Linked DNA regions of Arabidopsis thaliana. The protein of the gene in region 3 interacts with the protein of the main gene of each other region in a pairwise test. Each region holds a gene or a part of one and is shown on either strand. Other genes may lie near its edges. The genes, in order: NAC096, ADA2A, PYL6 and ESR1.

Evidence for each region.
Region 1: the proteins of PYL6 (region 3) and NAC096 interact in binary tests that used the Arabidopsis thaliana proteins (3 or more experiments, as listed by UniProt).
Region 2: the proteins of PYL6 (region 3) and ADA2A interact in binary tests that used the Arabidopsis thaliana proteins (3 or more experiments, as listed by UniProt).
Region 4: the proteins of PYL6 (region 3) and ESR1 interact in binary tests that used the Arabidopsis thaliana proteins (3 or more experiments, as listed by UniProt).

The regions. Positions count from the first base shown.
Region 1 is NC_003076.8:18,901,225-18,909,077, reverse strand, and holds NAC096 (NAC domain containing protein 96), read right to left. Parts: upstream 3,821-7,853; 5' UTR 3,400-3,820; coding exon 3,243-3,399; intron 3,161-3,242; coding exon 2,877-3,160; intron 2,789-2,876; coding exon 2,549-2,788; intron 2,465-2,548; coding exon 2,267-2,464; 3' UTR 2,026-2,266; downstream 1-2,025. Other genes in the region: AT5G46600 (aluminum activated malate transporter family protein), read left to right, coding at 42-172, 355-498, 588-1,229. UniProt on the Arabidopsis thaliana protein: Transcriptional activator involved in the positive regulation of abscisic acid (ABA) responsive genes. Acts as a positive factor of ABA-mediated responses.
Region 2 is NC_003074.8:2,467,266-2,476,606, forward strand, and holds ADA2A (ADA2 2A), read right to left. Parts: upstream 5,831-9,341; 5' UTR 5,798-5,830; coding exon 5,745-5,797; exon of another isoform or gene 5,643-5,744; intron 5,517-5,642; coding exon 5,455-5,516; intron 5,372-5,454; exon of another isoform or gene 5,371-5,371; coding exon of another isoform or gene 5,319-5,370; coding exon 5,116-5,318; intron 4,988-5,115; coding exon 4,922-4,987; intron 4,836-4,921; coding exon 4,710-4,835; intron 4,632-4,709; coding exon 4,559-4,631; intron 4,453-4,558; coding exon 4,392-4,452; intron 4,303-4,391; coding exon 4,244-4,302; intron 4,090-4,243; coding exon 4,039-4,089; intron 3,952-4,038; coding exon 3,723-3,951; intron 3,634-3,722; coding exon 3,423-3,633; intron 3,331-3,422; coding exon 3,052-3,330; intron 2,944-3,051; coding exon 2,749-2,943; 3' UTR 2,566-2,748; downstream 1-2,565. Other genes in the region: AT3G07730 (uncharacterized protein), read left to right, coding at 920-2,341; AT3G07750 (3'-5'-exoribonuclease family protein), read left to right, coding at 6,221-6,343, 6,436-6,492, 6,581-6,673, 6,875-6,953, 7,048-7,172, 7,480-7,623, 7,714-7,953. UniProt on the Arabidopsis thaliana protein: Required for the function of some acidic activation domains, which activate transcription from a distant site. The exact mechanism of action is not yet known.
Region 3 is NC_003071.7:16,841,775-16,849,294, reverse strand, and holds PYL6 (PYR1-like 6), read left to right. Parts: upstream 1-3,100; 5' UTR 3,101-3,470; coding exon 3,471-4,118; 3' UTR 4,119-4,707; downstream 4,708-7,520. Other genes in the region: DREB2C (Integrase-type DNA-binding superfamily protein), read left to right, coding at 1-630; TBL33 (TRICHOME BIREFRINGENCE-LIKE 33), read right to left, coding at 7,156-7,495. UniProt on the Arabidopsis thaliana protein: Receptor for abscisic acid (ABA) required for ABA-mediated responses such as stomatal closure and germination inhibition.
Region 4 is NC_003070.9:4,426,048-4,433,212, reverse strand, and holds ESR1 (Integrase-type DNA-binding superfamily protein), read right to left. Parts: upstream 3,496-7,165; 5' UTR 3,423-3,495; coding exon 2,436-3,422; 3' UTR 2,248-2,435; downstream 1-2,247. UniProt on the Arabidopsis thaliana protein: Regulates gene expression patterns in meristems and thus modulates organ development. Required for correct embryo patterning and cotyledon organogenesis. Modulates auxin signaling pathway in early embryos.

The DNA.
Region 1 (7,853 bases), on a different chromosome or scaffold from region 3:
TTACATAGTATAAATGGTTTTTTATTCTATATACATGTTAGCATGTGTGAGTGAGTATTTTGAGGAGAAGCTGAAAGACAACGAAACATCAGATTCTGAATCTGATGATGAAGACCTAATCTACAACGGGTATAATACTGTTTTGGATTCTAAATCCGCCGACGAAGCGCTCGTAAGACATCTTAAATCAAAATCTTTATTTCGAATCCGACTAGTTAAATTATATATCTTGAATATCTTTGTGTAAAAATGTTTCTTTTCTAATGAACATTTATAAATGTATTCATTTGATATTTTTGTATATGAATATCGTCCCAATATCTATATTGAACATATTGACACATATTTATATAGGCAATGTATGCAAAGTGGGAGCCAAGACACACAAGGCGTTGCAACAAATTTCCATCCCAACAATATATCAAAGTTGGATCCGTTCTTCGCAAGTTTGGTTACACTGTTGTTGCTCTTCACGGTTGCTTACAAACCGAGATTCAGGTAATTTATTCAACCTTTTATTTGCATTAGAAGAAATTAAAATTATAGCATATAGTTTTATTATAATGTTTTTATGTTAATTTTTTAAGACTCCAAGGTCTATCCGTGTCCTCTTCAAAGATCCTTGTGTTAGACTAGCCGGAGAAATCTGCAAAGTTTTATCAGAACTCTCCGAAAGCATTCAAAACCGACGTCATTGCTCGTCGGAGATTCTCTCCGACAGTCTCGAAGCGGCATTAAAAGATCTCAACTCCACAATCAAGTCACAACCTAAGCTCTTCTTAGGCTCTAACCTTCATAGTAACATCACTAACAAGCACCTAAACGGCCACGTTTCATATTACAACGAAACTAACTCAAACGGCACCGTTTCATATCACAACGATAATAACACAAACGGCTGCGTTTTGGGAGAAACTATAGAAGAGAACGACACCGTATCACCACTTCCGTTAAACAGCGTTGTTTCACTCTCTAGCTTAAGATCGGTGAAGAAATCGGCGGCGACCGGAGAGAAGAGGAGATTGAGGAAACAATTGAGCAAAATCGCGGTTATGAAAAGTTTGGAGTTTTCGGAAGCGTTACCATTTGCTGCGTTTGCGTCACTTCTTGTGGAAATGGTTGCGAGGCTTGATACTGTGATTGATGAGGTTGAGGAATTGGGAACAATCGCCTGCTTTAAGGAGTACGATAAGACTGTGGAGGTGCGAATTGAGAACCGGTTAATCTAGTGGTTGTGTAGATTGAATGTATCGTTACGATACGGCTTATTTTGGTTTTGTCTCGGTTTTCTACTACGTGATTTCGATTCTCTGTTGCGACCGATTTTGTTATGTTTTTAATTTCTGGAATTTTGTAACACGAGGTGTTAATTTGAAGAGTTACGTTGGTAAAAAAAAAGATTACTTTTTGATTTGTGTTGGTTACTTGGTAAATTTTGGCAAAAACTACAAAAAGTTGTAAAAAATAAAAAAAGAAAAATATCAGGGCCCAACCGGGTTCGAACCGGTGACCTATTGATCTGCAGTCAATTGCTCTACCACTGAGCTATGGACCCAATTTGTTATATGCCTACAAATAATTTTATTAATCTTAATACTTCTAGAAAATCACATTACATTTTAATACCAAAATAAAATAATTTTTTTATAAAGCTCATCCAAGTGGTCAAACGATGAGATTTTTTTTGGGAAACTTGATATCCTATAACTTCAATTATGCTCCTTTATTTTTATTATAGAGATGCAATTTTTCAATCCTATTTTTTTCTGTATTAGAGAAAAATTATGTTGTTCATAACTTCATAAGTGTTTAGTATTTTTGGTGCCATGATTCCTTTTGTTAAAAGATTGTTTTACACAGAGTCATTGTTATCAACTTATCACTTCCACAAAAGTTTATTCTAAAGGTTATATATAGTGACGTCACAAAAAGATGGTATAATAGTGTGGTGACCACACTGGTCCAATTAATCATTGTAATAGAAATGACTAATGAGAGATAGATAGTTGAAGGATGACAGTAGTGCATAATCCTATTGAGACTTTTAAGAGAATCCATATGGAATATAAAATACAGCTTCATATATATAAGATATATAACTAACGGTAAACATTTTCATATAAAATATAATAATCCCATAAAAAGTAAAAGAAAAAAAAACAGAATTATGAAACTCATTCATATATTTAGACCAATGCCAAAAGTCTTCCAATACTTAAAACGATAAAAGGTGTTTTTGTCGTAAAGAGAGACCAAATACTTCCGTCTAGGAGAAATCTGAGTAACCGAATAAACCGGTTTGATCGTATCCATAATTTGTCCAATAACCGTTTTGCATAAACTCATCCATGTTCTGATCTAAGCTTGTACTCGCTGGAAACTCCATGTTTTGGTTACCGATGATCGGAAAATCAAAGTCTTGTTGGAAGCACTGAGATGCGACATCTTGGATTTGAGGATAGTCCTACAAAAATTATAAAACCGGTATACGATTAACAAACATTGGTTTAGTTAGTTATCAGTATGTTTAGAATTGTGTACACATTACCTTTGAAGAATCGAGGATGAATTCAGGTGAAATCCAAATGTTGGAAGAATCAGTTTCAGTAGATACAGGATTGGCAAATGAGTGAAACGGCATTGTTTCATCGCGACTAGGAGACGTTACTCGGCTTGATAAACCCGAGCTTTCTCCTGATCCGATTGTTTGCTCGCTTGGAATTTTTCGGATTTTCGTATTAGTTTTGATCTCATTCTTCATAGCAACACGACATAACACAAAAGCTCCCTATAGTTAAACACATTCATTTCTTAATGGTCTCTCAATATCAAAAGAAACGAAACCATTTTAGAACTTGATCAAATTATAAAGTTACCTTTAAATTTTGTGATCCTTGTGATGTATCATCATCGCATAGTCGATATTCATGCATGATCCAATTGCTTCTATCGCCTAACGGGGCACGGCCTTTGTAGAAAACTAGAGTTTTTCTATAACCAATTATAGAAGATGAACGAGAAGTAATTTTTCGATCTTTTCCGGTTGCTTTCCAATAACCAGCCTTTGTTCCTCGATTTGTACGAAAACCATTAGGATATTTTTTGTCCCTTGAGCAGAAGAAGTACCATTCCATGTCCCGGTTTGGGAGAAACGACTTGTCTAAAAGTAACAACACAAAAATATTAAAAATTTGAAAAGTTACCTAATACTTTAAATAGATTTTTGGAAGTTAATATATTACCTGGTAACTCCCAAGGATCGAAACTATAAAGATCGATGACGGGAATGACTTCAAGCTCAATCTCGAGACCTTCGACTTTTCTTTTCAAGTAATATTCGATGAGTTCTTCATCCGTAGGATGAAACCGGAACCCTGGAGGTAAACATGAACTTCCCATTTGCAACAACAAAGTAGAATACGATGACTTGCTAGACAAAAAAAGGTTAAATAATCTTGAAATGGATATTTCTTGAAGTCACGAAGCTATAACTGTTAATATTTGGAAAATCCAAAAATAGAAACTTTTCTCGATGCTGGATTTGTTGTTTAGAAAAAATTGCAAGTCAAGTCGATTGTATTCTTTGTGTGACAAGAACATTGTCTGAAAGAAAACAAATTATTTCGTACAATAACAAAAAAAAAAAGTAACTAACAAATCTTTAAAATGAAGAGATGTAGTAAGGAAGTAATATTGGTGTGAAAGCTTCGAGAGTGATTAAGGAATGATTTTTCCTAACAAGAAGTGCTTAGCAAAGAGTTAAGAGAGTGATTGTAGAAATTAGAAGAGGTTGGTAGAGTGTTGAATGGTTGTGGTGTGATGAATATTTATAGCACAAAGTTGGTAGAATATTGATTTGTATATAAATGTAAAATGGAATTATAAAAGTTTGTTAGAATGTGGCTTTTATTTTTTACAAAATTATGGGTGACCGATAAAGTGATTAAGACATAACTTGTCTGAAGTGTTCTATGTAACAATTCCAAAGTAAATGGACCTACCTAGATTCAAAAGTTTATTTACATGTTCACACTTATGCACAAGCAATTAACAACTCATTCATATATCTTTCAAAGTTTTCTCCTTGACTAATTTTATTTTCGATAATAGGCTTATCATTTCAATCTTCAATCATACAATTATTATGTGATTTACAACATAATCAGTTTTTATGTATATTATATATTTACTAATAATTCAATGTAATCTTTTGTAAAAAAAATGCTATAGTTTTTTAAAATGTACCAATGCTATAGCCTATAGATATGTTAATGTGTGCAACTTTTACACCTCAAGTTGTAACTTTCCCAGTCATATATTACTGTGATATTGAGTTTTAAAATATTGTTACACGTCACTATGCGTAGGACAAAACAACTTTTTAGTGTAACTATATCACTTTTATGTCGTATGAAAAAAATGGAGAGAAGAAAGTGATAACGAAAACTATTTGAGTCGGAACAAGCTAGTGGACCCGCGGCTGCTTTAATCGGACCAAAACATATTTTTAACATTTTCTAATTTGTTTATATGTTCATGTCTTTAAGAACGACCAAAGAGCCACTTATATAGAAGTTAGTTGTCATATGCTTGAGATATAAAGTTTCTTCTTTAACAATTTTGGAATTACATAGTAACTTCATATTCTCGAGTTTAGTTTATTATTTCGCCTAAAATATCCCGATAATATAAAGTTGCAGTTCATGGTTTCCCATTTAGTTGGATCAATTTAGGTTTTTTCATAGCATTCGGAAAAGGGATGCCTTTATACACGATGACTCAATTTCCACATCACTAACATGAATCTTAAGTAGAGTTTTATTAGCTAATGCAGTCAACATAAACCATATGACTTCTCGAATGATACGTCACATAATCTTAAAATTTCATAGTTAACTTAAAAAAAGAAAAAAAGAAATGGAGATGTTTTTGGCCACTAATGAAGAAGAGCCTAGGGAGCTCTCCATGTGGCAACAACTCCTAAACCTAAGGAGAAATGGTTTATGGTTCCTTTTATTTCAAGCTTAAAGACGGTAATATATGCTTTTTCTGGTATTCCTTATGGACAGCTTCTAACATTGACTAGTGTTTAGCTAACGCTACTAATGAAGAGGGTTGGCAGTTTTCTGGTGCTTAAATCCACAATGTTGAGGTTTTCCTCTGCTACTTGACATTAATCCATGTCTCACAAACAACATGCAGCCACTTCTGGAAGTCCGATCCCTTGGTATCATCAAGTATGGTTCTCGGATTCAGTCCCAAAACATGCTTTCACCATGTGAATCGCCTGTTTGAATCGATTACCCCTCCTCTCCCGTTTATGCTCTTTGGGAATTGTTGGAGATAAGATAACACTTTCCCTCTTTGTAAAATATATGTGAAAACAAGAGACAAATTGTTTCAACGTTGTCCCAATAGCTATGACTTAATTGTGACGATGGTGCACATCATGATTGAGATGCCACATCATGGGACTCTCAACTTGCCTCGAGTCTCCTCGACATGATAACCAATAATCCATCCTTCGTCTTATTGCAACCCAAGCTGTTATAGTTACACCTAATGGCAAGAACGTAAGAACCGAATCTTCTGTGTTATTTGTTGAAACAAGTTGACCGAGTAATACGCAACAATTACTCTGCGAGACATTTCTTTTCGTGGTTTTGAGACTCTTTCACTCGGTAATTTTGTTGTTTTAATTGCTAAAAACCAGAGTTGCCAAACCCGAAAGTTTGATGCTCTGTTTTTGTAAGTCATTTCTTTTAAGAAGTAAAACCAAAAATTGTAACAAAAAATATAATAGAAAAGAAAGATCGATCATCCTCGATAGAATCCAGGTTTCAACTATTACTTAGAGGTCATAAAATATCTAATTTATATTAAAAATAAAATGTAATCCAGTTCTTAGTCTTCCCATGAAAAGAAATGTGAAAACATACCAAATGTAGAAAGGGATGGTATGGTATGTCCCGACATCCATATTGGTGGAACAGTAGGCCAACTAATATATTTGGTTTGACACGGTTTTAGTCTATACATAGCAAAATCATTCACGAAAGGTTGAATTTTTATAAACTATTTGTAATTGGTTATATATACGTGATTTCCATTTATTCGGATATTAGATTTTTAATTTGAATTTTGACTATTAGCATAGGTACTTGTAAATTATCGATGTAGTACTAACCAAATTTAAACTCAGATAATGCATGTTGTCAAAGAAAAAAGATACTGAAGCGTTATTATGTATTAATCTGTAAAATCATTTTTGTTGGTTTGATTTTGTTCGTAATTGAGAAATCCAAGTGGCAAAAAGCTCAAAATAGTTACTTGAGTTGACGGTAACATAGGTTCTCGTTCTATGAAAGTGTTACCTTATTATTTTGGTAGAGTGAGAATATTCCCACACTACTTTACGTACGTTCACTTTAACCCATGGTATCGTCAGCGGGAATACGATCGGAAAAGAGAATTAACCCCAAAAAAAAAAAAAAACTAAAAGCATATGTAGAGGAAAATATACTCGAAAAAGTTTGCCTATACGAATAAACGGATCTATCAATGACCACCCTTACACGGATACCTATATTAGTTTTGTAAATAATATTGTCCTTACGTGGTGAAAGCGTTTTTGGTCTAGTAAGTAGTTAGCCAATAAATTAATATTCATACGTTGATACAGTAATTAAAATTCTAAATATCTCGTCTGAATCGTAAATATCTCGTAACATGTATAATGTGTGTTAGAGATTAAGGTAGGGATTATTAGGTCATAAGATTAAGATCTATAATGTTTAGGAAGCATGTAATGAGACATTGAGTAATATATAAGAGACATAAGTCGCTGTACTTATTGCCAATTGGTTTTGGGTTAGAAATTTATGTAACTTTATTATAGTATCAGAGCTTTCAATCTTAATTTCTAAGCTGGTTCTGATGCAATGATAAATTGATAAGAGTAAAGAACACAAATATGTCTAGGATTAATTATAATAAATTCTCATAAGAATAATTGTACAAGATGCATTCTTTTATATAGAGATGAGATTGATCTAAGTTTCATAATCTAAGATAAATATAAATATACATAATATATTTAGAAATAATGCTAAATATTCTAAACTTCAATATTAACAATATATTTTTGTCATATTTTCGTCTTATCCTCTTGACCGTCGATCTTCGGTTCTTTATACGGGTTTTCTATATCCCAATAATGTGAGTTCAGTTTTTAATATACGGATATATGGATCTCTTTGTATAAACTACATCATCATTTTGATGATAAATAAAAGTCAGATAACAATGTGATAGACAGATTAAAAATTTGTAATATAACTGTTTGTATTATTAAATTTGTCTCTAAGGAAACTTTCGGGAGATGGAAGAACTTATGGATGATCTTGAAAAACTTATGGATGATCTTGAACCACAAGGAGCCATGTTCGACATGGGGGCGATTTGTAATATAACAGTTTGTATTATTAAATTTGTTACCGTATCGTAATTAAGATTTAAATATGCATGTAAAATTTATAGATAACGAAAAGATACTAATTAAGATGTATATGGTTTTATAAATTTTCAGATGATACTCTTCATAAAAAATGCTTTTTTGTAAGTACAGTTATATTATACCTAGTTTGGGTTTAAAGATAATGGAAAGTTGTTAATCATTGTTAGATAATTAACAAATGAATAAAAGCAATTATATTATGATGGTAGAAAATAAAATATCAAGTTAAGTTGAGGAACCTAATCTCTTGGACCCCAATATGTGATGCGATGTTCGGACGGCACATTGATCGGCTTGTGTTCCTTATTTAAATTTATGCCGTTGTTTTACATTATAT
Region 2 (9,341 bases), on a different chromosome or scaffold from region 3:
ATGAGAGCATCAATGGAAGCTTTGAATTCTATTTATTACCCACTCACTCTCTGTCTCATTGAGTCAGTAGTTGATAGGTATTTAATTGCAAGAATCTCTCTATATTGGCAAAAACAAGGTCAAATAAAAGTTTGTTTTGCGAATACCAAATCCATCAAAAGATACATTGGTTTACCTTGCAAAATTATTCAAAATATCTCGTTTTGGGGAAAAGATGTTGCAGTTTGCTACTCACACGACACACACCAACCTATATTTAATACTCACTGAACAAGTAACCCAATGCATGCTCTTGTTTCCCACACTCCCACAAATCATAAAATACAATTATGTTATTATTTCGTATATCGGGTTATTATGTTATTTTTAACTTTTATTTAGTTATGCGATATTTCCTTATTTCTAACTCTTAAGGTTGGCGAAAAAGGAAAAAAAAACTCTTAATATGGTGAGAAAATATGAAATATATGACGTGGATTTTCCTTAGGTCTCTTTAACTATTTTGTCTGATAACAATAATTGGTTTATAGCTTTGGCGTATAGCCTCCTTAAGTGTTATCTCACGTCTCTTCATATTCTGCTTCTCTCAGAAATTTCCTTAATTATTATAGCAAAATTTGATCTGCATTTAAACCCTAATATTTACGTTATATCATTAATTTCTTCTTCTTTCCGTTTCTTATTTTAGGAGAATAATTTGCTCAGTTTAGTGTTCACAAGCAGAGTCGCTCTAAACGGTATGCTCGATTCTGCGTCCTTTTTTTGCTCCTTCTATGTTTTATCTTTCTAGCTTTCATAGTTTTTTTTTTCCTGCATTATGGTTTCAGCGACAACGGATTGATCGTTTTAGGGTTTTTACTTCCATAATTATTTCCTAATTTTTTCTATTTTTAATCAATTTAATAGAGTGTTGATTGCGATGAAGAAGAAAGCCATTGTGATTGATGATGGATATACAAGGTTTATGGTGAATGAAATGTCTGAAAAAATCGATGTTCCAATTATCTGTCTTGACGAAGATGATGATGATGATGATCTTATGGTTGATAAGGAGTACAACGTCTTCTTGGATCATCTTCGAAGAGGTGATAAGAAAAGTTCAAGCACTCGCCTTGAAGTTGACAATGGAGCATCTGACATTCGTAGATTAAAGATCTTTTCTTGTGATTCAAAGAGATCTAAGCTTGGGAATGAGAATCCAGTGAAGAACAGAGTTAATCAACAGAGCAAGAGGAAAACTGTTGGAGTTGAGGTTGAAAGAGTTAAAATCCGAGAAATCATTCAAAGAGACAACAGAGTTGCTGAACGAAGAAAGCGGAGGATCGCAGAGTTAGAAGCTGCAAAGACTTCAAGAGACGTTCCTTCACTCGAAACCCAACAAGAAGACATTCAACAACGAGACAACAAAGTTAGGAAACTTTCCGAGTCAAAGGCTGAGACTTTAAGAAGAGATGATGTTCCATTGGTTAAAACTCAAGAAGACATTCAAAGAGACAACAGAGTTGCTGAACGAAGAAAGAGGAAATGTGACGATGCTTTAATAAAAGATGTTCCATTGGTTAGAACTGAAGAAGACAAGAGGGTTGCTGTGGAGATTGATCACGTAGAGCGAGTACATAGAGTTACAGAGGTTAATGATGTAGATGAGACTTCTTCAAGGAGCAAAGAAGTTTTTGTAGGGAGAAGGAAGAAGAATGAGGGGAGTGAAGCGGTTGTGGATAAGGATTACATGAGGTACCTCACATGGCTTGTAGATTCTCTTAGCGATTCGACAACTGAGCCAATGGAAAATCTTCAGAAAGATGATATGGATACTCTAAAAGAATCGACAATGGTACCTGAATTGGATCCACTAGTAGAAGTGAAGGTTGAACCACATGATGATTGGTCTGATTATATAATTGCGATGGGTGATTCCCCTTTTTTGGATGGAGAGGAGTGTACACCGTTTGTGGCGTCCAAGAAAGTGGTTGATCTTGATGAAGGAAGCAAAGAGAATGAAAGTAGTAGCAGTTGGTTTAGAAAGGAGCTAATGGATGTTTTGAAAAATCCATATGATGAAGGAGAGATGAAGCAGCTCCATCGTTACGTATCAATCCATAAAAAAATGACTCGATGCAGAGAACTACGAAAGGGAAGAGGATCTGATTATGAGACTGACGAACTGGGACAATCTTATCTAGAAAGTTTCCCTGATTTCGAAAAAGAATACAAGCTTGTGGTTGGTGTTGATAAGGCAAGAGCTTTGAAGTTGCTGCGTGGCTTTTTCTTTTACTTGAAATATGTTTCTCATGATGGTGTTTTCAAGCCTTGGGAGAAGACTCAAAGTTGGCAACCTTAGAAATGGTAAAGCTTTTGGCTTCATGTAGATTAAGTTTTTGGATTTCTGTCTGTTTTTTTTTTTTTCTTTGTTGTTGGATGGCAATCTGATCCAGTGTAGTTTCTTGTAACCAAAGAATCTGGTTTTATTTAGGTTTTTCCTGAAAACTGATGCAATGTCTCAAGACTTTCTGATCTCATATAACAAAAATTGAAGGAATCAGATGAGTGAAGGCATTACAATATTCAGTTTAAACGTTGTATCAAAAAATCTGAAACAGCCTTTGAAGGTCATAACAATCAGACATTGTCAAGTTGTCGAAACTAACAGAGAACAAGATGTGTAACCAAAATCAGCATCACCTTCCTTTATATTTACATGGCTAATATATGTTCGAGAAGTACATGTTAGGACCATGAAGCTATGAGTCATGTTGAGTCACCTATTCCCTTATGAACCAGCATATCATATACTCTGTCTACTTTACTCGGCTCTACTTTGAAGAAGCTATAAGCATCAGACTTTTTCTTTATCTGCCCCTTCTTTATTTCTCTTGTTAAGATATCCAACATCTTCAAATAGTGTACAGGCAGTATTCTGGTCTCATTGCACATCTTCTTTTCCTGCACAAAAAACAGCTTCAATCTCTCAAACCATAGGAATAATGTCAACAAATCAACAAAATCACAAATAAGATGACAAACATCAAGTTTGAAAATTATTGTTCTTACGGTCTCTGAGAGTAAGTCAGCTCCAAGGAGACCATCAACATCCCAAGTGTCCAAACCGCTGTATATTCTTGGAGGTGTGACCTTTGGCAGTGAGTCAGAACCAAAGGGATGCAAATTTCTGGGTAACCCTCTTGGACTTTTTAGTGTTTTACCGGCTATACTGCCTGGTGCACCGTGGTTAAGCCGCAGCAGCATACTTTCTTCAGCTTCCTTCTTTCTCTTCTCTTCTATAAATCTATTTGCGTCTGAAGTTGTCCTGCAACCAGCAGTTCTAGCTTCCTGCAACATTTATTAAAAGCTCAACTTAATGTTCCCACCTAATTGAGTTTGTAATCCAGTACTCAAGCTTGGTAAAATTTTAAGCATCAAACCTGAAGATCCTCGATTCTTCTGAGAATTTGGTGCTCTTCAATGACTTTCTTAATCAGTTCCTTGTGCTCTTCTTTGGATTGGAACCGCGCAAACACTTTACAGCTTTTATATATTTTTCTCTCCTCTGCTGAAAGGCTCATCTCATATTGATCAGGGTACAACAAGTTTCTTTCCAGAACAAATTCCTTCCTCCGCTTCCTCTCATCAAGCCTGCCAACAAAGGCACAATCTTGGCTTGTAGCATTGGCTTATGAAAAAATTCTCCGGTTTAAAAATGGTTGTTCCTGTGATAAGTGTACCTTTTCGAGTAAATACGAAGAACCTGCAGTTTCTGCTCACGCTCAGCATCTGTGTCAGAATCCTTAAATTCCATGTCAGCAAGCAGTTGCTCAGCATCGTTGTCATGTTCGATCTCAAATTCTTCCCTCTTTAGATTGTAACCATATAACTCTGTTACTAATGGAACTTTCTCTCCAGGAAGTCTGAGTTTCTTCTCCCCGACACTCCTGTCAGATTGTTGTTTTGCAGCTAAGACACAAGGGCCGTTAACTACCTTTAGTTTTTGTTCGCGTAAATATCACTTTGCATAAAAACTTGTTCCAGTATATAACAAACCTTCCAACTTGATGATGTCCTTAGCCTGCGGTACATTGCCTTTCTTCTTGACTGTACAATAAAAAGTATTACTTTACATATGGAATCATGGAAGAGATAATATTTGGGGTCGTAGTACGAAATGCGGATGATTTGCGTCCTTAGCCATAAATCTAAGTGCAAATAATGTCTACAATTTTATATAGATAAAAGCATTTTCACATACCTCCAGCTAAGGCAGACAAAGGTGGATCTATTTCATTGACCTTCCCTGAAGCTTCGTGTCTGCCCATGGAAACATAATAGTACTTTTAAAAAGGTGCATTCAACATTGTAAACGTAGGTAAACTATTGTTACAAGCATAAGTATATACTTGATTTCAGCTGACACAGGTAACTCTTCTTTTGGAGATAGCCTCACAAATGCAGGTATTTCTGTGACAAATAGTAAACAGAGCTCAGCATCCTCCTTTTTTCAGTCAAGGTTAATATACGAGTCCCAAATCAACAAGAAACCCCGCTAATAGATTTTAAAGCTGACCTGTTTTGACTGCACTATCTTTACTCATAGCAAGCAGCTCATCTTTGCTCTTTCCAATAGTATGGGACAAGTCCTACAGAGCGGGGAGCTAGAGTAAATAAACAAGCTAGGTTCAACTATCTGACGATCATGTGTTTTCATCAGTCCTTACCGGAAGTGGAAAGCATGGTGACTGCATGTAAGCAGAATTGAAGTGTTTAATACATTCTGTCGTTGTCTTACTACCAACATGGTCTGCAACTTCTTTCCAATTGCCAAACCCGTATGTCGCAATGGCCTAACACAGTCAATTTACTTCCCAATAGTCAGATGGAATCTCTATATAGACATGGGAGTGTACAATCAGAAACGATTAATGATTACCTCAAGAAGGAGTATCTCTTCATCGGCATTCCAATCAGAAGTAACAAGCGAAAAAGACAAATTGTCCTGTCAAACAAAAGGGTAGATTCAATACAAACAAAAATACAACCATAGAACATTTTCTTTGTTTTAAACACAATCACTAATCTAATTACTTTTCAGCTGACAAAGCGTTGAATTGAATTCAAATATACTGCTCGGCGTTGGAAACTAACCATAACACGATATGGGTGACTGTTCTTGTGACGATTAAGTTCAACGCCGACAGAAAAGCATTCCACACAAAGATCAAAGTCCATACAAACAGCACATTTGAAACGAACCAAACCAGACAGATCTTTATCGCAATAGTTACAACAGTAAAGGCCAGGTTTCCTCTCATTCCCAGCTTCAATTCCTACAATGTATTGGTACATGTAAGAACTTTTGGAAAACGCAGCTTGGTACATGATACATCAATGCATATCTATCCACAGCAGAAACTTTAGTCCTATCAGTATCACACCTAATTGCACAAGTAAACGGAAACCTACCGGTGGAAATTGATGCCGCAGCATTCTCAGGACCCAATGATATCTTTTTCCTTTTTGATTTTCTGAAACAGCCAAAATCATCAAAATTAGGATAAAGACAAGAGACGACAGCAGTATGAAATCAAGAGCCACCCACAAGTACCAAAAGAACTCCGATTCAGATAATCAAACACAGCTAAGTGGATTACCAGATATTGAAATGTTTTCGCAAAGACAAGTAAGTAATTGAACAGAGAAAACCCTAGAAGACTTCGAGCTAAGATGGACAAAGAACGAAACTTTAAACGAACCCTGGATTCAGGTCTTCCTCAGCAGGACGAGAAGCTAGTTTCGAACGACCCATCGGCACCAAGCTCGCACTTCTTCCCGGCAGATTGAAGAAAAAACCAGAAGAGCGAGAAAACGCTAAAAAGCAGTGAAAAAATGGTAAGTCGGTAAATGACTAAATTACCCTTAACAAGTGTCAATAATTATGTTCACGCCATCTTTAAACCCTACGGCAGTTGTCAGTGGTCACGTCTCTCTCTTAACCTAACCAATCCAAAGTTGCCGCTAGGGTCACCGGAAAACTTCAGAGTTGTGTCTTCTATTGAATTCTCCGGGAAGGTAAAGAAGATTAGTGGGTTTTGATTGTGCTGTATAAAGATGTGTACTTTGTTTGAGCTGTCTCTTAAACCCTAGCACCAATCCGTGAACCTTGAAGTTTGTCATTCCGGTAGAAATTCCTCAGCAGTTGATCTAATTCGTTCTCTGTGTAGTATTAGTGATGGGGCTTTCTCTTGGGGAACAACATTTCATTAAAGGTGGGATTGCTCAAGATCTTCGAACTGATGGTCGGAAAAGATTGACTTACCGTCCTATCTACGTCGAAACCGGTGTTATTCCGCAGGTAGTGTAATCTCCTAGAGCTCGTCCGCTTCTCATTGTTGCTTCCCAGTTGTTTAACAGATATGTTCTTTCTCTTGTTTTTGTTGGCTCTAGGCTAATGGTTCAGCGAGAGTTAGAATTGGTGGAACCGATGTGATTGCTAGTGTAAAGGTACTTCCTTTGTTCTCTCTGCTACTGTTCTATTGTTGAATGGGAAGTGCTATTGTAGATGTTACCCAGTAATCTTGTGTAATTGCAGGCTGAAATTGGGAGGCCAAGTTCACTTCAACCCGATAAAGGAAAGGTTGCAGTTTTCATTGATTGCAGTCCAACAGCTGAACCGACATTTGGGGTGAGCTTTTCTTTTATTTCGTTTGGTTTTGGTTCTATCTAGCACTTGTCACACCCGTTCTATCGTTCTATTGGTGTTTCTCTTACTAGTGGAATTGTTCAACATGAGATTTTGGTTATCATTACTTTTCTTCAGAATCTCCTAAATTCTACTGTGTTAAGTCTTTAGGCGGCTAATTCTTTGTGATATGTTGTTACTTAGGGGAGAGGAGGTGAGGAATTGTCTTCTGAGCTTGCTTTGGCTCTTCAAAGATGTCTTCTGGGTGGCAAAAGTGGAGCAGGTCTGCAATCATGTTTATGCAATGCTTTTTTTTACCTGCACACTGTTACGCTTTCTGTTTGTAACGTTTATAGCAATTCATGTTTTGGTACCAGGAGCTGGAATAAATTTATCTTCGCTTTTAATCAAAGAAGGAAAAGTTTGCTGGGACCTTTATATTGATGGTCTTGTCATTAGTTCGGATGGGAATCTATTGGATGCCCTGGGTGCTGCCATTAAGGTAATTCTTGTGATGTGTGTTTGGTTTTCTCTCTTAACCCTTAGTCTCAGGTTTTAGTTACGAATGTTAGTGAGTAAATCATACCCATCAATCAGAATCATGAGAAAGGAAAGGCCAGAGAATATAGGAAACGAAAGGGAATGGGTCTTTAGTTAAGTGTATATAGATTAGCTCAATGTAGTTGTCTTGTTATTGGTTTTAGTAGCTTTACGATATGTTTCCAATTGATAGTTTAAGCAACCCAAAAGTCATCTTTCCTCAAGGCTGATCACATGCTTTAATGCACTTGTTGACTATACTCCTGCAGGCTGCTTTAACCAACACGGCCATCCCAAAAGTCAATGTTTCAGCTGAAGTAGCAGATGATGAGCAACCAGAGATTGACATCAGCGACGAGGAATATCTTCAATTTGACACTTCCAGTGTCCCGGTCATAGTCACGTTAACAAAAGTAATCGAATCTCACTTTTCTTGATTCACATCGACATCTTCTTATGTACATTTCGCTAATCTTTTACCATGCTGTCCTTGGTTTTTGCAGGTGGGAACGCATTACATAGTTGATGCAACAGCAGAAGAGGAGTCTCAGATGAGCTCAGCTGTATCTATATCTGTGAATCGGACAGGCCATATATGTGGGTTAACCAAACGAAGCGGGTCTGGCTTAGACCCAAGCGTCATCCTTGACATGATCTCTGTTGCCAAGCATGTGACAGAGACTCTGATGAGCAAACTTGATTCAGAGATTTCAGCCGCAGAGGCCTGCGAAGACGAATCTTGACTCTTGAGTCTCAGAGAATCAAAGTTTCAAGATGAAACATGTTAGCAAGGGATCAACAATATTTGTATCTGTGGAAAATCTTATACGAAGTCAGAACAGATTAAGCTAATCAAAATCCTTTTTCCTATGTTCTAATGTTCCATGCTTTGTGATAGTAAAGGTGATATTTTTGCCATTATAGTATTAGTAACATTATATCTCATCTAGGGATTATTAAAAGAGGCGTTCCTTGGATCTCTGTGTTTAAAGTGAAAGACATAACAAGTTACAAAAGGATTTGTGATATTTTGGGAGGAGGAAATGAGAATGGAGATGAGGTCAGCAAATGAAATTAAGTGGACTTGGAAAAAAGAGAAGATTGGTGGTCCATGATTAAGCTCAAAGGTCAAAAGAGTGTGTGAGCAGTGTTGGTCACGTGTATCTCAGCTTCGGGTTTGGTAAAAATGGCTTTGAAACATTCAATTGTTTTCTGTAAAACTCCCAAATCCGATACTATTCACATTTGTTTCCTCCTTCATTTCATAACAAGCAAGCTGGCAGAGAAAATTTGGTAGTCATCTATTATGTCATAGAATTATGATATGGTACATACTACAAAACAACAAAAGGAGGGAGCAAATAGAAAGCGTTAAATGGCAAAACTCAACGAATTTACGTATATTCCGATGAACTAACTAACAATGATATTGATAACTGTTTTTGCGAATCAACTAACATCGTTTCCACATTTAAATTGTGACTAGCATAAACAATTAAAAAGTAAGATTTGAAAATCAGTCGGTTAACTAATTGGAAAAGAAAATGAAACTAAATTGATTGACTAAAGTGATTTTTTCTTTTCTTATTGGCCACTAACTCTTATTTTGTTTTCATTATGGAAAAAGAGTCAAACCTAATCAAATATATTTAGTCTATGATTTACCCTAATAAAATATACACAAAAAAATTGATAACTACAGTACTTAAAGGTTTTTAACTGTAAAAGTTAATTTTGACAGTAAAAATATTTATTTCTAAAAATAAAATAAAAAAAAAAAGAGAAAAAGATTTAATAGCAAAAATGGTCGTGGTACGGAGAGACGGTGGCGCGTGGAGGCGGGAGAGGAGCGTGGAGGAAAAGAAAAAGAGCCAAAAGAGAGGAAAAAAGCAAACACTTTCACTTGGTGGACCCATTTGTCCCTCCCCCAGACTCTCTCTTCTCATCTCTCTCTCTCTCTCTCTCTTCAAACCCTAAAAATTCACGCATTTTGGCACAGTTAAGTTCGCTGAATCCCGTTCCTCTTCCTCTGTCTCTCTCCCCAAGAAAATCACTCAGATCAAAGCTCAAATTTCGGATCTCACAGCTGTCGCTTCGGTAGGTATTTCCTCTTCTTTTCCCCCCCTTTCTC
Region 3 (7,520 bases):
CGCTCTTCTTCGACTGCTGCCACTGCCACTGTGTCAGGCTCGGTTACTGCATTTTCTGATGAATCTGAAGTTTGTGCACGTGAGGATACAAATGCAAGTTCAGGTTTTGGTCAGGTGAAACTAGAGGATTGTAGCGATGAATATGTTCTCTTAGATAGTTCTCAGTGTATTAAAGAGGAGCTGAAAGGAAAAGAGGAAGTGAGGGAAGAACATAACTTGGCTGTTGGTTTTGGAATTGGACAGGACTCGAAAAGGGAGACTTTGGATGCTTGGTTGATGGGAAATGGCAATGAACAAGAACCATTGGAGTTTGGTGTGGATGAAACGTTTGATATTAATGAGCTATTGGGTATATTAAACGACAACAATGTGTCTGGTCAAGAGACAATGCAGTATCAAGTGGATAGACACCCAAATTTCAGTTACCAAACGCAGTTTCCAAATTCTAACTTGCTCGGGAGCCTCAACCCTATGGAGATTGCTCAACCAGGAGTTGATTATGGATGTCCTTATGTGCAGCCCAGTGATATGGAGAACTATGGTATTGATTTAGACCATCGCAGGTTCAATGATCTTGACATACAGGACTTGGATTTTGGAGGAGACAAAGATGTTCATGGATCTACATAAGATTTCAAATTTCGTTTGACTGGCCTAAGTTTGTGATTCTGCTCCGAGACGGTGTAGCTGTTACTAGCTAGAAGCTGCCCTTCTTTGAAGCTACTGATACTTTCTGATATTAATGGTTGTGAGACGTAGTACATGTAGTTAGGTAATGTAGGACAAGTTCAAATATGATTCCTTCTTTCTTTTTCTTGTGAATACATATGACATATGAAGAAGTTCAAACGTTGGGTTTAGAAAAAGTTTATAACATTCGGTACATATCAAAGTTTTGAACTTCGGATGCATATAAGCTATAAAGTTTTGATCTTTGAACTTTGGATACTCTCACATCTAATTTTCATCCTTAAGAATGGAGATGGAATAATGCGATGTTGCGTAGTGGTTTTATTGACTTGGCAAGTTTTGATTATTCAAGAAACTTGGCTTAGTTTAATGGAAATATCCAGTAGTGGAGTTTTTTGGTCTGCAGACTTTCCTCAGGTTGTCTGAGATTACATAAGCAATGAGGTATGAATAATAAAGTTATCATTAGAGAGTTATCTATCTGTATTTTCTACAAAAGGCAAATTGGGTATTTGAAAGTGCAAATGGGACATAGTTGTATATTATTTAAAAGGCTTTAACTATTCCATTCTGGTCTCCAAAATCGTTTTTCTTGCTCGAATCTTGAAGATCTTCTAAGCCTTTAGAAAAATGAAGAAATCAAGTTGGCAAACTGTTAATTAATTAAATCCAATGAATTGGTGGGTATTGCACCTCCACAAGTTCCCTTTGACAATGTGTCCTCTTCTCCGCAAGAATGAGATGCAACTATTTTGGACAATTTCTCCTTTTAATTACTTTTTGATCGATAATCTTCTCTTAATATCACGTTGTAATCTGATTCATTCAAATATCTATCGAAATTTAAGCTTATCTTTGATTTTTTCGATACTTATTTTTGAAATTTTAAGTGCATTTTGTTTATAATCATAGTTGGGGATTTAATAATTTTAGGTGGAATAATATTTTATGCATATTGGAGATTTATTTCTCGAGAAATATTCACAAACAAACAAACAACCGGCTTTTGCACAAAAATAATAATGACATGGAGTCGAGTTGTTTATACTAATGTTTGTCACTATCTCACCATTGGAATTTAAATCTTGGATATATAATACATGTTTTGACAAAAAAAAAAGTTGGCACAAATTATGTTGTTGTAACAAAATACGTCTGATGCATTGATTTGAGATTGACTCTTTGAACCCAAAAATGTATCACCGTAATATTAATACATTTTCCACATCAACTTGTAATCTATTTGTGTTCAGTAATATATTGGTGAGTGATTATGTCACCTAACCCGAAAGCTTATAAGATGAGCAATCTTTATATCGAGGATGGTGCAAAAAATAGCAAATTGTAACTTTTTGTCCTTCTTATTCTATAAAATGTCAGATATAATTAGTACTGCAAATTGCTCGCTTATTCGTATTAATCTTAACAACTAGGGCTACTTGGGAATATGTATAGTTGTTGGAAAAACTAATGCATTAGATAACCCTTTATTATTTTTCCCAATTGTGTTTTGTTATTATGCCCACCACTCAAATCCAAGAGTCCAATATATTCATATGATTTGAATATACGTTTGTGGAAGAAAACACACCCAAGAAATATTGTCCAATTCGTAAATTTCCCTGACTTTACGTTGGTTACTTTTAGCAAACTGCTTAGTTTGATTTTCTTCTAATTCGTCTTATTAATATTCTGTTCTTTTCTTTGTTGAAAAGGAATTTGATTAATACTTTTTTTAGTATCGTCGAAAGGCTCAAGTTGATTACAAGATGAGGAAAGATTATTATGATGGACCCATGACATGATATCTTCACCAACTTGGAACATTGAAAGTCCTATGGAGTTATTTTTGAAATTTTTACCTTAGTCAGAAGGTTCCAACAAAATTAAAAATCCACCAAAAACGCATCCAAGAATAGTACCAACTGAAAATAGATCGGCAATCACAAAGACAAAGGTCGGTCCTCCCAACCAATTTGTTTCAAGAATTTTTTCAAACCTATGCATAAATTAAGTATAGCTCTTAACCAATATATATAGCTTAACCAACTCGACACATAGTGATCATGTTCTTATAATCTTTAATAACGTTTTAGAGTTAGCTATATATATAGCCTCGAGACAGTAGAAGATTGAAATATCTATGCAAAACCTCAAAGATAATGTTCAATGTTTTTATATTCTGAATATTGATATAATCGGTGAGATAGAGATGAGTTCAGAATTTTTTTCTCGGTATCTTAAATGATATTGATTTCATTTTCTCAACTTTCATTCAAGAGTGTTTTTGGTTAAAACATAAAAACGTCCATTCTAATTATAGTAATGCTTGTGTGGTTACGACAACATGCTCATTCATTGTAATAAACTGGTGAAATATATAGCACCATTGACAAATAGACAGCCTCAGTAACAAAGCAAGGAAAAACAAAATTAAAATTTAATAACCGGTTATATTAAATATCGAGAACCAGTCCGTAGAATTTCATGGGAAACCGGGCCGGTCCTTGATATAAAGAAAGAGAGAGACGTTTCTTAACTGAAGCAGTACACAAACTCCAAACAAATCCCAAGTGGACAACCGAAGAACCCACACAAACTAACTCTCTTTCCTAATCCACATACTTGCATTTTTATATATAAACACTCTGTCCTTATATAGTTCTGTATATTACATGTAAATATCTCTCATTAATACAACCTCACGAAGAAAACCATTTGTTTTCTTAGAGAGAGCCAAGAATATTAAAAGAGATATAGAGAAAAGATTTGCTTTAATAATGCCAACGTCGATACAGTTTCAGAGATCCTCCACCGCCGCAGAAGCAGCCAACGCCACCGTAAGAAACTATCCCCACCACCATCAGAAACAGGTTCAAAAAGTGAGCCTCACGCGCGGGATGGCTGATGTGCCGGAGCACGTGGAGCTTTCCCACACGCACGTGGTTGGTCCTTCTCAGTGCTTCTCCGTCGTGGTACAAGACGTGGAGGCTCCGGTTTCCACAGTCTGGTCGATCCTAAGCCGCTTCGAACACCCTCAAGCGTACAAACACTTCGTGAAAAGCTGCCACGTGGTTATCGGAGACGGTCGAGAGGTTGGGTCGGTGAGAGAGGTCAGAGTCGTCTCTGGTCTCCCCGCGGCGTTTAGCTTAGAGCGGCTTGAGATCATGGACGATGATCGCCACGTCATCAGTTTCAGCGTCGTTGGTGGGGACCACAGACTCATGAACTACAAGTCGGTGACGACGGTGCATGAGTCGGAGGAGGACTCCGACGGCAAGAAGAGGACACGTGTCGTTGAGTCATACGTCGTTGACGTACCGGCGGGTAACGATAAGGAAGAGACTTGTAGCTTTGCTGATACTATAGTACGGTGCAACTTGCAATCGCTGGCTAAACTCGCCGAGAACACTTCTAAATTCTCGTAATTACATTTTTTCAATCTTTTTATTTTTATTTTATTTTCTATATTTCTCTCTTTCAAAATTTATCTTTTATTTTTGGGATTCTCGAGGTGGTTTTGGATTTTAAGATTTAAGTATTTAACTATCGTCGGGGATTTTTCGAAACTAAAACAAAAAACAAGAATTATATCAAACAAGATGGTTTTGGTTTTTCGAAGTTAGGGTTTTTAGGGTCTGTTAAATGTATGTCTCAACGATACTTTGGTTTTACCCTTAAAACCATTTCTTCTTGTACAGCTCTCGTAGCTTTATTATATAAACATTGATTGTTTAGTTATTTTCATAATCTTCTTCTTGCGCCGTATTTTACATATTTATTATTTGTCTTTTAATTTAGTTAATCATGAAACAATATAGACTATATAGTGATTCAGCTATAATGCATGGGGTATATTGTTACGATATTTCCGATATTATTATGTCTAATTTCATTAATTTTGATAACCTACATAATAATGTATTACACAAACAATTTGATTAATATAATCATTGGCATATCTACTATATATGAAGAGATCTGAACAATTGTGGGCAATCAGAAAACCCATACATGTGCTGATTGAGATGATTCGTTTTCCTTTATGTTAAGAGAAGAACAAAGTAAAACTATACATCATTTGAATTTTATTGAAATGTATAAACAGTAGAATACTACTTGGTGTTTTAAATGAATTTGCTCACCAGCTATATAATCAAAGCGTTCAATCCTAAAAGCAAAGATGGAATAATATCAATTAGTGATAATTAAACTTGAACCAAGGCGTAATGCATGTATTGAGTTATGTGATATAATCTTAAGAATTTTCTTTATGGCATATATAATGCTAGGCCAAAATAAATGGTGTCAGGTAATACAGCATTATATCTTTAATTCCCTAATTTGGAAACGTAAAATTTTCAAATTATTTGTCATTTCATCAACAAACTTTACATAAATACGTAAATGTTTTGTTTTTACTCACCAAAAAAATAAATCAAAATTATTTACATACCAAAATGATAAAATTTCTTAGTTCCTTTTATAGTTTTGGGATGCGTGAACCGTTTCAATAATTCAAATGTCAAAATTATTACTTTTTCGGATTTCCTTGTCCTATATATTAGTTCATGAATAAAAATGTACATTTGAAAAATCAAATAACTTTATCTAGTTATATAAATATAAAGAATCCAATGAACAAGATGAAAAGACATTCAAAGTTTGCAAAAGCAAAATGTGTTTAGTTACTTTATAATTAAGTAGTAAGATTTCGAGACTTGTGAACCAAATTCAAAATTGAATACATATATAGACATTCATGTATATGATCGTACGTAAAATGCAAGTTGGGGTGTAATAAAATCCAACTTGTTATAGAAAAAAAACAAAGCATGCAAGTTGCAAAGGAAAAAAAAAAAAGTCGCTACTATTCTTTGACACCTTTAAAAAATATTCCATAAATAAAAAAAAGGTTAAAGAAAAATCAAATTGATTACATAAATGATTATTAATTTATTATCATAATGAGTACGAAATATATATGTAAACATTGTCGTGGAAGGAAGGAATTGCAAGTTGATATGCAAGTTGGCAAGGAGGCTATTAATGTTTTCCCTCTTTTGGTCGTTTGTATAATGACATTTAAACCCACCCACCTTTCTTATTTTCTTTTCTGTCTTCCTATTTCTGATCACTATTATTATATTACTTATATTTTATTTCACATTTTTTTTAATTTTATAAACCCATAAGAAATTTTTTTCCCTTTTATTTACATATGAAAACATATGTATTCCCGTGTCAAAAAAATGAAAATTCTGACCAATCCAGAGAGATACGATTTATGGGGTTTGTATATTCCAATGTGGCATGTTGCATATAAACTACTACTATTTAACTAGTTTCTTAATAATTCAAATCCAAATAAACATGCATAAAAGATTGTGATAACGTACATAGCTGTGATATAATATGCATTACTTTTAAAAAGCAACGGAGATAGTTCGTATTTTCATATAGTCTTTAGCTGGGCTATCTAACACTTTAACTAATTAGAATAAGATATAAAGTTTGCTATAAAATGTAAATAGATGATTTATCCAATATATACATATGAGTGTGTCTGAAAAAGGCAAACCAAATTCAATGTAACGTGAAGAACACCGCCTCCTTCCTTAAAGTTTATTGGGGATAGATATTTTCGTCCATGATTTTAACTTCTACGATTTTAGGTTTGGAAGCATTTCGGTGTGAGTGGTGTGTAATGTTGAAAACATCAACGCGGATAAAAATCTTCTATATAGTAATTGAAAATTATCAAATACGATTTTAAAATTAATGAAAACGTCGATTTACTATTTGTTTATTAGGTTTATATACATGGTTTGCTACCAAAAATATAAAATTCTGAATATATGAGTTCACAGTTCATTCGCTTCAAAATAATATTTTCATTACCTTCATATTATAAAAATCATCTTAATTTCACAAGTTTAACAAAATTATATTAACGAAATTGTTTGATTTTATATTTGTGAGTGTGTGTTTATAACCTGAATTTGATATTATTGATTTATTGTCTATCTTTATTTTATGTAAGATTAGATTTTTTTTGTTATGATTTGAATTTTCTTACTTCCATTCATGTTCGGTCTAAGACAATTAAACTTGTGTGTTAATACTTTTTATGTGTGTCCAATATAGAAAACAACATAAAACAATTAAGCCCAATAAAGGCCCATCGGAACACCGGAACACGAGTTTTGTCAGTTAGGTTTGGCGAATCAGCACTTATAAATTAGAAGATTACAGTAGAGACCACTTTTTGTTCTTTTTGCTACATTACATTAGTTAGACTGTTTAGAGGCTACTTATCATTCTCGATTTGTCAAACCTTTTTATCTCACAACCAAAAAAGACAATATCAATTCAATGACTAAATTTTACAATTTCTCCACAAGATCTCTTTCCAAACTCAAAAAGCGCTGTCGTCTTCAAAGGAAAAAAATGTTTTCTCTTATCTCAAGTATAGAAAAGTTTAGCAAAGAGAAGCTCATTCCAAGTATCTTGAAGGCCAGGCAAGCACCAATGTACACAATCCGCATAGCTCGTTGGATTCTCCAGCTGCTCCGCTGTAAGTGGACTCCACTGCTTCTTGTATATCGACGTATGTGCATCTTTCCTGTAATTCGACATTTGCGTTATGTTCAGTAACGTTATCGGTGTTTTCGATCTTCCAAACACTTCTCCAATCACTTTCATTATGCTTTTCCTACAATCTGATCCCCAGTAGCTTGGATCTTCTATAAGTGTTGTCTGATTATAGCAATTCTGACCCGGTTCACCTCCCCAATCTATCCCCCTGAAACAGTCATAGAACAAGAACA
Region 4 (7,165 bases), on a different chromosome or scaffold from region 3:
TGTATCAACAATCCTTATCAAATTATTTAATTTTAATGAGACAAAATGATTCAATGATTGTAAATCTTTTAAACAAAAGCCAGTGGATCATCATCGTGACTTGTGTTGGATAGGTCGGCGAGATACATTGACTATAAGGCCGTTTACTTATGATTGAGATATAAAACTCTTACTTGGACAAATAAGATAAGTGTTTGTCTACTTGTACGATTTTTTCCACTCTTGATAGTGAATTGAGTATGTTAGTTTCTTTCTCTGTTTATGATTGCTTAAATAGTTAAATGTAAGATATCACCCGGTAAGGAAAATTTGATTTTTCAATTTCAATAAGAATAAATTATTGGGTTATACGTATGGATGAATGATGATAATATTTTGATCGGAATTATGAGAACGAGTGGAGTATGTGTGTGTACATGAAAACGACGACTTGGAGGCTTTTTGAGAAAAGATAAACTACACGTTTTGTAATTCGATTTGATTTCTAACATTTTTTACATAACATAAAGTAAACAACGATGCGTGATAAAAATATCCTAATGTTGTATTGCATACGTTAACGTGTGACGCTGTGTTGGATTAGTCGGCGTTGACTTGATTTTTTAAGGTCTCCCACTAATATATTATGAGGTTTTCAATGTCTGAAACGTCACAAGCCCCACTTTATCATTTGAGTGGTCTCAAAAGCTTTTAAATCACCATTCACAAAAGTATATTTTGGGAAGATTAAAGAAGAGAAGAAATACAAGGTAAACTTAAATTTTGTTAAGAAATGCACTGCACTTTCATACATCGAGTTTAACAACAATACTCTGTAGTAATCAACCACTAAATATTCAGGATCATAGATGATAATAAAGTTATGTCACAGCAATTAGCAGACGTAGATAATAATGTGTGGAGTTGTGGAAAAGAGCAATTCAAGTGAAGTACATAAACCAAGAATACAAACTTTCCACTTCTCAGATGTAAATCTCATAATGGGCCTGATTAAAAACTGGGCCTAACTTTTTGCGCCCATGTCTACTACTGTATGGAGAGAAATTTTGCTATTACTAAGCTTGGAGTTCGAATAGAGTTCAACAATTGAAGTTCCGTGCTTTCGCTGTGTTGAAATTGACAATGCAATAGATGCTTTCATCCATTTATTTATTTAACTAGAATCATACGATCAGAGTTTTTTTTGAGCGAATCGGATTTTTGATGTGGAATATTTTTACAAGGTATATATATCAAAAAATAGAAAAGGAACAATATGGTTTTGACAATTGCCTAATGAATATTAACTTTATGTTTCTACAAGACTACAAATACCCCTAAACCCCTAGCCTTGAGCCTTCATCTTGAAACAATTTGACATTCACCCTGTTAATAATGTATCCCCTATTATGATTTCACTTTAATTCGTTGAGATTTCTAAAGTTAGCATCCAACAGGAATATCTAAGTTGTCTACTTATATGAGACAGTAGATTAAATTACAAACATATGATTAGTGTGTGCGTACGTGTTCATTTTCTTTGGTACCATTTTTGTGGTTTTCAATTTTCGTATACTACTAATTTCATCGACGGATATACATGTTACATCAACGCAATAACCACGAAACATACGGAATTGCGAACATGAGTAGTGGGTACAGTTGATACAAAAAAAAACGCAATTTTTTTTTTGTATTTCATCATATATTCGCAATGAATTAAACTCATTCTGCATATATTTTAGTTTTAGTTTTTTTGAAAAAGCATATATTTTAGTTTTTTTTTTTTGGTCAAAGCATATATTTTAGTTTATTTCTGCAAATTCAGTACTTATTAATCAACATGTGAAAAAATCAGTACTTATTACTAATTTTTTTGACATCAATCAATATTAAAGTTCTTGACCTTTGTTATTTAGTAGTTCAGCTTTTCCTTTGGTGATAGAATGAAGAGAGCACGAAAAGTTGGAGAAGACAGAGACAAACACTGCCTTTTGTACGAACGTTAGTCCACTTTTCAGACTACAAACAAATAAATGTAAGGATATCACTTTTTCATCTGCAGATTCACTTTTAATAGGTCGATACCAACATTGCTGAACAAAGGAATTTTCCTATTTTACTCATCTCTCATCATATATATTATTTCTTGCTATTACGACTATGTTAGAGGCTTAAAGCTGTTTAAGAGTTACGTAACTTCTTAACAAGTTCCACCATGTGATTATAAATTATGATACAACTTAAATCATTAAGCGCGTAATGTGTCAGAATACGTGGATATAAACTTTAATTAGCTACGAAAATATATTATAAACTTGATTATAATTATGAAATCCTATTAGCAAATTCAACTTAAAACATAATTTAGTTAATATCCAACATTGGGAAAGGTAGCAACTTTAAACTAAGTCGATAGTACCAAAACTCAAAACATAATCATGATGAATATCTAGCTATCCCCACGATCTTCGGCAAGTACAGCCTAACTGAGTTCCGTACATCAACATTTCTTGATACCCCCACTCGTTTGATCCCAACGATAAACCACCGTCTGCGACGGCTCTTACGCCGTCGTCATTAGCTTGAAAATTCCCGTAGCGATCTAGTTTCGACGACAAAGTCTCCTTAGTCTCTTGAACCATATTTTCAGAGTATATAGTGAGATTAGAGAAATAACCAGAGTTGTCATGATGGCTAGTCACCGGCGGTGGTGTTGGTGGAGAAGGAGGAACGCCGCGATTTTTCTTCAAGAACTCTTGAACGACCTCTTGTAATAGACCAGTATCAGAAGATTCTTCCGGGAAAAACGACTCGTTGTTTTCGTTTTCGGAATAAGAAACGCATGCCGTTTTCGATGCTGAGTAAGAAGATGATGAGCCGTTGAAAGAGTTATTATACGGAGTCGTTTTACGAGAGGAACACGAGGCGTCGCGTAAGAAGATAGACTGTGTATTATAGATCCTCTGCGCTGCCGGTGCACCGTAAAAGTTTTGGGTAGAGGAATCTAACGGTAGAGAAGGAAGAGGACAACGAGCAGACGGCGAAGATTTCTTGTTGGAAAAAGAAAACCTTGGTTCAGGCATAATGACAGCTGTCGGATAAGTAAAATTAGTACGAGCCTTTGCTCCACGAAAGGCACGAGCCGCAGAGTCGTAAGCACAAGCGGCTTGTTCCGCCGTGTCAAATGTTCCGAGCCAACGTCTCTCCTTCGACATTGGGTCACGTATCTCCGCCGCGTATCGTCCCCACGGCCTCCGGCGTACGCCGCGGTACCTCGTCGTGCTGCTGCCAGCTCCGGCGATGGTTACAGTGGTATCTTTTGAAGACAGTTTGCGGTTGCGGCTAACAGGTGAGGCTGTAGGTTCAGTGAAGAATTTTGTGAGAGGATTAGGGTCTGGTGAGTGGGTAGATTCGGTGAAGTTTCTCAAGGCTTTTTCCATTTTTGGTTTCTAGGGTTTTGGTTTGAGGACAAAAGGAAGGTGTAATGTGAAAGATTTTGGTGGTTGATAGTTTGAAAGAGATGGAGCTTCTTCTATCTATTTATAGGTACATAAATGGTATAAAAATTTAATTAAATTTTGTGAAGTTTGAAATATATGGCGAAGAGTATAAATGCTTTTCTTGCACATACAGTATAGTAGTATACAAATAACTATATAAGCATGGAAACTTTTGAGTTGCACTTAAAACTTGATTTGATTAATAACTGATAAATTGATAATACTTCTTTTGTATATTAATCTTAGCAAACTAAAATTTAATTTTACATTTAAATTTACTTGCTATCTTGTTCATCATATATATATGGGGTAGATGTTTTAAATCTTTGGTCTAGACATTAGTGTTTTTCTTTGATGATGACGATGCAAGTGGGAGTGGCGAAATAAAACCACGTTCTTATTGCTTTTTTATTTATTAAAGTTAAAAATCGACCAACAGTCATTTCACACATGCTAAACATATTTACATTATTTCTGTATGATTAGTAAAGGATAATTCCATTATTTCTAAAACTGCCAATTAGAATAATCCTTGAAAAAGTATCTTTGTTTGTTAATGTTAATGTATGATTACAACATACACCAATCGGTGATATCGAGAAGAAAATAAATGATTTTGTAAGAAAAGTATGGAACAAAAGATATGCATAGCAACACTTCAGTGTAAATCTGACACTTGTGGATATTATTGTACGAAGAGGACATTTCAGGTTTGTCTAAACGTATGTATGAGACATATATGTATTTCATGTATCAGAAGCTTGTTTTTTATTTATTGCTTCTGTCTTTTTTTTTGTTAAAATTATTTATTTCTTCTGTCATGAAATAATCATGCCATATCGCCCGATGCTTACGTTTTATTATAAAGTCTATTAGAACAATATAAGAATTTGACAAGTTTACTGGAGTATCTTTCAAAAGCTTTGGTAAGTATTACTAATTGTTTAAATAAGTTTTGAAATAGCGTTGTAATGGCTGCGTTTGCGTCATATGTGTTTAATTACTACCATCATTTGAGATTTTTTAGGTATTATTATAAAACCATCTACCATGACCATGACGTCATGAACTCATTATATTGAGATTTATGTTGGTTGGTCGGCAAATGACTGAATGAGACAATAAGCAGCAATTAAAACCCCTGCGTTAATTCTGTAATTTTACAAGCAAACTAAAATGTTTTAATTTAAAATGTGCATAGTCATAATATGAACTTAAACTGATAACATTTTGTCTAATGTTGAAATGTTACAACTCTATGTGAAACCATAGGCAAGATCTTTTATTACCAAACTAACAGTATCCATGGTTGATATAAGATTTTGTCTGGGGGGGTAGGTTGAGTTAATATATACTATAATAATTGTTAAGTATAGTTATTACTATATGGTAAAAACAACAAAAGAGTTCATTGGTGAACTTATCTATTTTCTATTAAAAATTTGAGAAATTCTTCATAATTTTGGGAACTAAAGACTTTTGGTTTCCAGCTCAGTCCTATGCAAATGTCTTTGTGATTTCCGATGTCACAAAGTAAATTATTACGATAGCTCGTGTTCTGAGATAATTTTAGTGTATCTATCATAATATCAACTTGAAATACTTCGGTTTCGATTAGGGTTGGACATGTGAATTATATATCCAACCTAATCAATTAAGTGAAAGCAAGAAATGAACCAATTATTTATAGTCAAACCGTACTCAATCTACATATCTCACAACCAAACGAATCAAACTTAACATGACTTTAGTTCAACCAAACAAACTCAGCAAAGAAATCAAATTTTATCTAAATTTTATATGTAGATAGAAATATATTAGTAAAACTGTAATATAACCATATTTTTATCAAATAATTTTTAATGAAAACATGGACCATATTATAAAAAATTATTTATTTTCTAAAGAAAAAATGATAACTGTTTTTATACTGTTAATTTGTATCTATAAATAACCAAAATCTTTATAAATCCGTAAAGATGGAAAAGGATGTATTCTAATCAATGGGAGAGTTGGAGTCGTTGCTTCACCACTCTATTTTTAATCCCCTTATATTTTTTCTTTCTTGTTAAGTGTTGCTTTTTTGTATGAACTATGTTGGTATAAATGACTATAGTATAGTAACTAATCAAAAGTATGATTTGATAGATTTTGAAAGACAGAGTAAATGGTGGGTCGAGAAAAAGAAGATATTGTAACGACAAAAGAAAGAGAGTGTCAAATACCAAGACTCCAAAACTCAATCAATCAATTTTATCCCTTGAAAAACGGATTTCACTTCTTCGAATTATTCATTCTTCCAAGAACAATAATCCTTCATCAACATCAAAAAGAATTCTAACTCAAATTCTGCTAAAAAGGACTAAATTATAAAATGTATTTCTTTAATAATGATCTTTCATCAACATCAAAAAGAATTCTAACTCCAAATTCTGAGTTCAATCAATCAACCTTCTTGCTTTAATAAAAACAGGAAAAAAAACCGTCAAGTAGTAAAAAATAAAATAAAATCTTTCGAGATAAAAGTGTGATACAAAATAGGTTAAAAAAACAAATCCCGTTGAAAGTGAATGACCTTTTGGGACATAAGAAAAGATCATTCTCATCATTTTGCCCCCTATGATGTGGACCCTGAGCACCCATGCGTTACATAATATTACTTTGTGATTTGACTATCTTTATATTTTAAGAACTTATAATTCATTGCTTAATATAAATATTTTTACTTCTCTCAAATATACTGAGAAATTTGGGCCAAATAACATTAAATGCATCCACACTCTTGAATAAATTATCTAGATTTCGGATTGAAACTGAAACTTCTGGATTATTGGAAAATCTGGTGTAATGCTCTTTATTATAATATAAGCTCACGTCTTGTTTAGACTATTGAGAAGATAGACCAAACTTACTGTTTGAAGAGTAATTACACTAGAGTTGGGTCCTAATCTATATAACTAATTAACACATTGATTATTGTTCTTATGATAAGCTAACTTTTCAACACCAAATTATAAGCTTACTTTTCAACACCAAATTACGTATGAATATGATCAGTAAAACAAACAAAAAAATGATCTGCTGTAACTATTTCATTTTTTTGAAGTACTAACTAACAATAATAATAAAAGAAACATCTATTAAAAGTGTACAATAATTCAGATTAGGAAAAATAATAGAAAGAGAAGAGGAGCAAAATGATCTGCCAAACTAGAGTAAGATCAGTAGTACTTTTTGGCTCTGATCAAATTGTCTCCTAATCTCTCTACCTCTAATACCTTAGGGTCAGATTCATATGTATGCATATACATTGTACGCCCATTAAACCATTAGCAAACAAGAAACTGGCAGATAATAAATGACTACTCTTTTATTACTATTACTCTTAATATTATTATATATTATTGGTGCATTAATGTAGAAACCCTAGTCCCAAGATCCATCATTCCTTTTTTCTGTAACTAGATGTTCTTCAACAGCTTTTGTCCCACAAGTGTCGTTGGAATAAATTTAATTATTTTCTTAAACTTATATGCTCTATAATTTTTTAAATGTTATATATGTATTCAAATTTGTTTGGTTGGAAAAAATTAAAGTTCAATTTGACAAACTTGTAAAGACCAAAACCACCATGGTTTAACAACATGGATGGATATGGATTTGGTGTAATGAGAACATTCAAT